Rattus norvegicus: one gene and its partner. The protein of the gene in region 1 purifies or fractionates together with the protein of each later gene. This does not show direct contact. Links are inferred from orthologs where the notes say so. Each region holds a gene or a part of one and is shown in the gene's direction. Other genes may lie near its edges. The genes, in order: Snrpa and Snrnp70.

Region 1 (3,910 bases):
ATGGGCAAGCAAAGAACAGCGTGGCTATGGTGATTTGTAAACAGGTGGCTGTCTGAGATCTGGGCTGGCAGGGGGGTGGTGACCCTACCTGTCCTTGTGCAGCTTCAGGAGTCTCTTTACATCAACTTTGCCTTTTGGAGCTGGGCCAGCCTTCTCCAAGGCCTCCTTCAGGAGCCGGCTGTTCTTCAGGCCGTAGACATGAGGGAGAGCAACCTCCACAGCAGAGGGTGGAGGGGGTGGGAGAGGGGGTGGTGGAGGGGGCGGGGGCGGAGGTGGGGGTGAAACAGAAGCCTGGAGACTACAAGGAGGAGATGGTAAAGCTAAGTCCGGGGGATTTGGGGGTAAAGGAGGTGGAATGTTGGTGTCTTGGGTCTCATGAATTATTGGGGGGATTATGGGTTTTAGGGGGAAAGAGCATTGAGAAGTCATTTGGGGTCTTCAGGAAGAATGAGAAAGAGGATCCTCCTAAATCTCTCAAGGATGGAGATTTTCAGTTTTTAAAAGAACTGGATGAGAGATATTCAGGCCTGCACATTAAGACCTGTAGAAAAAAATAATTAAAACTAGAACTGATTGCAGAATATGGTGCCTGACCAGTTGGTCTGGGAGAACCTGGGTTAGTATTTGAAACAGTGGAAAGAGAAACTGAGCTAAATCAAATGAAGAAGGCTGTGCTATGGGGCTGAGGCTACATTAGAAGGGAAATTTTGTAGGCGTCATCTCAGCAGCCGTAACTAAGCTAGTTTTGGTCACTTCTGTAATAAGGAGGTTCAGATCTGTTGTGAGGTGTCCAAAGGATGAGACTGGCCTACCTCACATCCCGGGCCTGAGTTTGAATCCTTGCATCTGAGCTAGGGTCAAGAGGTTAAAAAAAGACACGTAGGTGGGAAAACAACCTAATGGTGGGCAGGGTCAAGGAACCAGCCAGGAAGCATGAGAGTTGCAGCAGCTCAGCGATCAAAGGCCGACTAAGTTGGTAAATACCGCTCCACTAGAGAATAGAACCTAGGAATTTGCAGAGGCCCCTCCCCGGGAGGAAATGGCGTCACCCTGCCAGCCTCCAAGTGTCCTTTCCCATCCCACGTGGTAGAACTCGCAACCAGCACAACGCGCCTTGAAGGTCACGTGATACTGGCGGAAGGGGAAGAGGTGTGGCTCCCGAAAGGCAGTCTCCAGAATAGCACTGGAGCTCTAACCACGTCCCAATTGGCCAAAAGCTCGTACCCTTCTCTGATTGGTCCGTCCCCTCTCGGCAAGGGGGAGGAGCTTATCGCTAAGGCGGGAACGCAAGCGTTCTTTTCCTGGGCAGGCACTGAGGCCCGGGAAGAGACTTATTCTGAACTTACGGAGTTTGCGGGCCCTGATTAGCTCGCGGAAGGGGGTAGCCGGAACCAGGGAAGAAAGAAGCTGTGTGTCTTTGCAGCGTAGCTTGGCGGGCGCTGTCGGTCTGAGCGACGGCTTAGGTGGTGAGTTCCCGCGGGTGTAGACGCCGCTCGGCGCCGGGGAAGCGGGTGGAGCACTTGGGGAGGCCTCTCTTTTGAGAGACTAGGATGTTCCGAGTCGATCTCTACATTCTTAACTGGCTCCGACATCCGGGTTCTTTTTTCTCCCGGGTCGCCGTTCGCGCACGTGGACTAATGGGAAGAGCCGCTCCGTGTGCTCCGCCTGCCGGGGCTCGTAGTGCATTCTGGGATTCGTAGTTAATCTCTAGATCTTCCTTAACACGCGGGCTGGAGACGCGGAGTCCTAGGCTGGCTTTGTTGCTAAGTGTGCCATCCTCCCCCAATTCCGGTCTTACTCTACTCCCTCCTGGAAGAAAGATCCCTGAGCAGAGCCCACCAGTCCTTTAGAACAAAGAACTTGGGAAACGTAAGGCTAAATCGCTTTTTCTTCCTCCTTAAGCAGTACCTGAACATCTCACACCATGGCAGTTCCCGAGACCCGTCCCAACCACACTATTTATATCAACAATCTCAATGAGAAGATCAAGAAAGATGGTGAGTTCTTGGGGTAGCCTGACTCAATGCGATCTCACAAGAGTTGACCCCTTTTCACCTCTAGCACCCACGTTTCTTTTTCAGTTTTCCCCATTCAGTCTGTTAAGAATTGGCTTTGGCCTTTGTACATACTGGTTCCTTGGTTTCAACAGGCATTTTACACTCTGCCCTTTGATTTGCGCATTGTTAGTGATCTTCAAGGTTTTAGCTCACAGGTCCCTTCCAGGATTGCTCTCTCCATCGGTCTGGTGTTCTTGTGAGACTACCTCTGTCCACAAACCTCGGGGTGGTGGTCTCAGTGATTGGCTACAGTGCAGATAACACGCAGAAGCGATGGGCAGTGAATGGCTCTGTAATGGAGGTACAGGACTGTTATCCCAGCAGGTAGGAGACTGAGGCAGGTGGATCTTGAGTTCCAGACAACACTGGGCTACATAGTCAGACCCTGACACCAAAAGGATCGAGGAATGCCACTAGTGTTAGTCTTGTCTAGCGTGAGTAAGGATCTGGATTTAAGTCTCAGCAACTAAGAAGATCAGCATGGCCTGGAGAGGTGACCCAGTGGTTAAACAGCCCTCCCTGGTCATCCAGAGGATCCAGTTTTGATTTCTAGCACTCAAGGAAGGTTTGTAACTGTCTGTGACTTCCGTTCCCAGGGATATGACATCTTCTGGCTTCTGCAGGCAAAATACCCACATATTTAAAAAAAACTTAGAAAACTTTTTTTTTAATACTTTTTATTTATTGTATATAAGCACACTGTAGATGTCTTCAGACACGCCACAAGAGGGCATCAGATGGTTGTGAGCCACCATGTAGTTGCTGGGATTTGAACTCAGGACCTCTGGAAGAGCAGTCAGTGCTCTTAGCCACTGAGCCATCTCTTCAGCCCTAGATAACTATTTTTAAACAAAAATCCCGGCCAATTCAGTTTTTCTCTGGAAGGTAAGGCCCAGGGGTAGAAAGTTTACCTTTCTGCAAAGACTGAATCCCAGCACACATCTTTAAAAAACTAAACACAAGTAACTATATATACATAGTTGGTATGTGTCTATAAATGGATATGTGTGTGGGTGGGTGGTCAGGACGGCTCTAGAGAGGCCTTCCTCCTTCCACTGTGAGTTCCTGAGGTCATACTCAGGCTGTGAAGCTTGTGAAGTAGATGGATGCTCTACCACCCTTACACTGGCCCCTTTGTGCGTTGCTTTTTTCTCAGTAGCACTGAGAAGCTGAGGGAGGGTCATAGTTCTTATGACCAACTAGAGAAAATTGTCCGGGGAGGACCAGAAAGATGGTTCAGCTGGTACGCATGCTTGCCAATAAGCCTATCTTTCCCAGGTCCCACAATAAATGACTTCAGGTACCTGATGCTCCTGCCTCCAGCTCCTGATCCAGGAAATCCAGTGTTGAGATTCCGGGGTGGTGCCAGCATGTCCAATCCACAGGCTGGTAGCTGTTAGTGAGCAGTGGTCAGTAAGTGAACTTGTGACATGAACAGCAGGAGACAGGATAAGAAGAGGGAGATAAGGGGGCGTCTAGACAGACCAGTTGGAGAGGGCCTCCTGGAGGCTGCAGACTTGTGGGAGACTTTAGTGGCTCGGAGAGGGCAGTCATGGAGATGTCAGGAAAAGGACATCCCACTCAGAGTTCAAAGGCTGAGGAGTTGCAGAGACTGGGAGGTCCTGCTTGTGATCAGAGACTGAAACAGGAGGATTGCCTAGAGTTCAACTGCAGAATTGGACTGTGCCTTGAATAAGTAAGTGAGTGAATGAAAGGACTGAGGTTAGCTCATCTGGAGTGAAAGAAGTGTTTGTTATTTGAACAGCAAGTTCGTAGCGGGTATATAGCAGTCCACACCTTGTACAGCAGTGGACGTGTCCTTTGAGTGGTTCTTGGCTGTTTGTGTTACTGTA
Region 2 (3,910 bases), about 13 Mb from region 1:
GAGAAGATGTAGAAGAAAAAACCTGGAATTGTGTGTTTTGTGCCTTGGTCCCAGCACTGAGGAGGCAAGAGGTAGGTGGGTGAGTTTGAGGCCAGCCTAGTCTACACAGTGAGTTCCAGGGCAGCCAGGGCTACACGGAGAAACCCTGTGTCGAAAAACAAAAACCAAAAACAAACACAAGAACACCCATCAAGAAAATATATATACACATATTATCGCGTATGTATGTATATATAAACATATATAGATAAATAACACACACTGATACAAAATGCAAAATCATCTTGGGTTATATGGTGAAACCTTGTCTGAAAAAAAAAAACAGAACACATTAAAAAGGAAAAAAAATACCAAACGGATGGATCTTTTCTCTCAACAATGTGAACTCCAGGAAGGAGAAGAGTATTTTGTCATGATCTGCGTCCCCCAGACCAAATAGTGGCTAGCACATACGAGAAATTTGGGAAAGAGTTCTCTCTTAAATAACATAACTGCAAAGACCCTGTTCAGGTACGCACTCTTTGACAGACTGCGGAAGGATATGTGCACGTGCATTACCTAGACGCATGCGTCGAAGGTCCGGGAAGTGTAAGGAAAAAGGGTGGAACATCTGTAAGTGTCTCGCGGTCATAGGCGGTTAGCTAGAGCGCGAGGTTGAGACTGACTTAGGTCCGATAACGCATGCGTAATAAGGTCGCTGGGCCGCGGAAGCTTAGGCATTTAAGGCGGCCTATAGCTTTTGCGCGTGCGCAGTGCCCGCGGTGTGGCCGGACTTGTGTGAGGGTTTCTTTCGGTTCCTATAACACATGCGCAGTGAGAAAGGCGGAGGGATTCGAGTCGCATTCACTCCCGGTTCTGATCGCGAGCTGAGGCCGCGCGGGTTGCGAGGAGAGGCCTGGTTTGCGCGCGCTGCGCGGACCACAGTGGATACCTGACGCGGGCACCGCCGAAGTGGAAGCCAGAGCGGGAGTTTTTGTTTGTGAACGGCGGCCGCGAGGCCTGAGACTAACGTCAGGCCGAGAAGAGCGCCGCGCGGTGAGTGAGTGGGTGAATGAGTGGCCTTAACGGGGTGTGGGGCCGCTACCCACAAACCCTTGCGGGGCCCCGAACCCTTTCCCCGGGGCTGTGGCCCGCTTCCCGGGTCAGTGCCTTAGACTTTACCCCCTGCGTTCCCCATCCTTTACCCAGAGTTCTCTGGGCACTCAGGCTCTCTTTCCCTCAGAGTCCCCCCTCCCCCAATCTCCTGCGGTCCCCTACCCACAGGCCCTTGCGGTTTGTGTGTTGCTTTTTTTCCTCGCCTTTTTTTTTTTTTTTGGTCGCATCCTGGACCTCTACCCATAATTCCTTTCGTCTCTGGCATCCTAGATATTTTACGCAGAGGCCCCCTGGCTTACGGGATATTATCCTTATGGCCTACCTTGAAACCCCTACTTCGTAATCTTGAAGGTATGAAGCGAGCAACCTCTAGAGCTCGAGGCTTCAGGATCCCTGGGCCCCACACCTCCTGACTCCTTTTCCTCTTTGTTTTCTGTGTTATTAGCCTTTCCTTTTTTTAGCTCCTGCCAAGGCCTTTTTTCAGGCAGGGGATAGCAGCATCCAGGAAATCTCACGCCTGTTTTGTTTGTTTTGTTTTGTTTTGTTTTTTGAGTGGAGGGGTCCTAGAAGAAACCTGTTCTAAATAAAGATTGCTAACATAACGTTTCTGGTCTTAGATTTGGGAAGATGACACAGTTTCTGCCTCCCAACCTTCTGGCCCTTTTTGCACCCCGAGACCCCATCCCATACCTGCCACCCCTGGAAAAGCTGCCACATGAAAAACACCATAACCAACCTTACTGTGGCATTGCACCATATATCCGAGAGTTTGAGGTGAGCACATTGGGAGTGTTCGGCTTCTGGGTGGGGGCGGGCTACCTTGAGGCATTCAGCTTCAAAACCTTTTTAGTTGTGTGGTGCGTGCGTGTGACTTGTACTGTTTCTTATATTGTTTCGTGCTTTTGTGTGCGTTTTAATTTTTTTTAAAGATTTATTAATTTTGTGTATATGAGTACATTGTCACTGTCTTCAGATACACCAGAAGAGGGCATCAGATCCCATTACAGATGATTGTGAGCCACCATGTGGTTGCTGGGATTTTAACTCAGGACCTCTGGAAGAGCAGTCAGTGCTCTTAACTGCTGAGCCATCTCTCCAGCCCGCGTTTTAATTTTTTTATTACACTTTTGTATATGTGTGGGTGTGTATGTGCAAACCGGTGAACATCAGAGGACAACTTGCAAGAGCCCATTCTCTCCACCTTGTGTGTCCAGGAGCTGAGGTTTTCAGACTTGATGGCAAGAGCTTTAACCTGAAGAACTATCATCTTTTGGTTGAGTTTTGAGACAGGATTTTGCTGTGTGTGTGTGTGTGTGTGTGTGTGTGTGTGTGTGTGTGTGTGTGTAGAGCTCAGTGTGGCCTTGACCTTATAGCAGTCCTCTTCCTCAGTCTTGTAAATGCTGCAGGTATTGCTTCCAGGAGTGGTTCATTTCCTCACAGAGTTAATATCTTTTGTATGGATATGGTAGTCCCTTGCCCAAGTTTATTGGCTAGATTGGTTACATTGGCAAGTGTATCTCCACCCTGTCTGGGTTGTTGTTTTGTCCTGCGGGAGGGGAGTTGGGGGTGGGGTGGGGGAGTGGTTACAGTCTTTCGTGGAGTCTTGGCTGGTCTTGTAGATTTCCCTTTGTCACTAAGGCCAGCCTTGAACTTACGCTTACTCTGCTCAAAGAGCCAGAGTTCTAGGTCTCTACCACTAACCCAGAAAACATCATATGTAATGCATTAGGTTAGCTTTAGCTTTAGCAAGAGGTAGCAGTAAGATGAAACCAGTGGAGAGCTGAGTCACAGAATGTCTGTTAAAGGATTTGGGATAAGGCAGTAAATGTCTGTGTTTGTCATTAAGAGGACAGGGTTGCATACACGACATGACTTAGCAGTGAAAAGTGATTGTTGCCAAGAAATCTGAGTTCTGGTCCTAGAATCCACAATGAAGGAGAGGATATGCTTTAGCATGTTGTCCTCTGATCTCTACATGCACAGTGATACATATACATCCTCATCTAAATAAACAAATGTAAAAATAAAGTGGTTTTTAAAGAGGATAGTGTTTGCTGGGGCTGAGCAGTGCGTCCTGCAGTGCTTGAGGCTAGGAGCTAGGGGTTGGCTCTGTACTTGCTGAGTACATATGAGTCACTTGAGCTCCTTGGAGTCAGTTCTCTTATGCAGAAAGTTTGTCATGCCCACCTTCAGAGCAGACCTAAGAAACACTGCCATATAGCCAGATGTCTCAGGAAGAACATTCTGACATTAAGTAGGAAAAGTAGAATTTACTAGATAACAGAAAGGTGATTCTTCAGTAATATTTGTCTACATGCCACTTGAGAAATGTTATTATCCAATAAACATTTACTTTAATGGGTACAGCTCAGTGGCACCCTTTTTGCAGATCATGTGCCAATTAGCATTTAATGAGAGCCTGGAGAGGATTTTATGACTTGCCATGGTGTTACAGATCGTCTTGCTTTGGAGGTCTGCCCTGCCCACCATCCTTTCAGACATATTTCTAACATTTGGCCCTCTGTGACAGGGTTCTTGGCTATGGGAAGGAACTAGGTAGCTTTGGTACTGTACCTTACAACCATGTTACCTATATCATGACAAATGTCAAATGTCTACAGGCATTTAGATTGATGTTCTTTTGTCCTGAGCTTTTTCTGTAGGCCTGACTGGACTCCCAACTCAGAGATCAGTTTGCCACTGCCTCTCAGTGCAGGGATAAAGGTGTGTGCCACCATGCCCAGCAATTGATGCTTTGGGTAAATACCAAAGATTGTTTCTATGTTTGTTTTTTAAAAAGGACCTTTAAAAAGAC

The links.
Region 2: the proteins of Snrpa (region 1) and Snrnp70 purify together in Homo sapiens (affinity purification with mass spectrometry; 4 studies listed by BioGRID and IntAct, counting the BioPlex papers as one, with this or other methods). This does not show direct contact. The link is inferred for Rattus norvegicus from reciprocal best matches to the Homo sapiens genes SNRPA and SNRNP70.

The regions. Positions count from the first base shown.
Region 1 is NC_086019.1:91,615,536-91,619,445, reverse strand, and holds the start of Snrpa (U1 small nuclear ribonucleoprotein A), read left to right. Parts: upstream 1-1,403; 5' UTR 1,404-1,466; intron 1,467-1,902; 5' UTR 1,903-1,924; coding exon 1,925-1,997; intron 1,998-3,910. Other genes in the region: Actmap (actin maturation protease), read right to left, coding at 89-429. UniProt on the Homo sapiens protein: Component of the spliceosomal U1 snRNP, which is essential for recognition of the pre-mRNA 5' splice-site and the subsequent assembly of the spliceosome. U1 snRNP is the first snRNP to interact with pre-mRNA.
Region 2 is NC_086019.1:105,009,793-105,013,702, reverse strand, and holds the start of Snrnp70 (U1 small nuclear ribonucleoprotein 70 kDa), read left to right. Parts: upstream 1-851; 5' UTR 852-1,035; intron 1,036-1,124; exon of another isoform or gene 1,125-1,446; intron 1,447-1,712; 5' UTR 1,713-1,722; coding exon 1,723-1,869; intron 1,870-3,910. UniProt on the Homo sapiens protein: Component of the spliceosomal U1 snRNP, which is essential for recognition of the pre-mRNA 5' splice-site and the subsequent assembly of the spliceosome. SNRNP70 binds to the loop I region of U1-snRNA.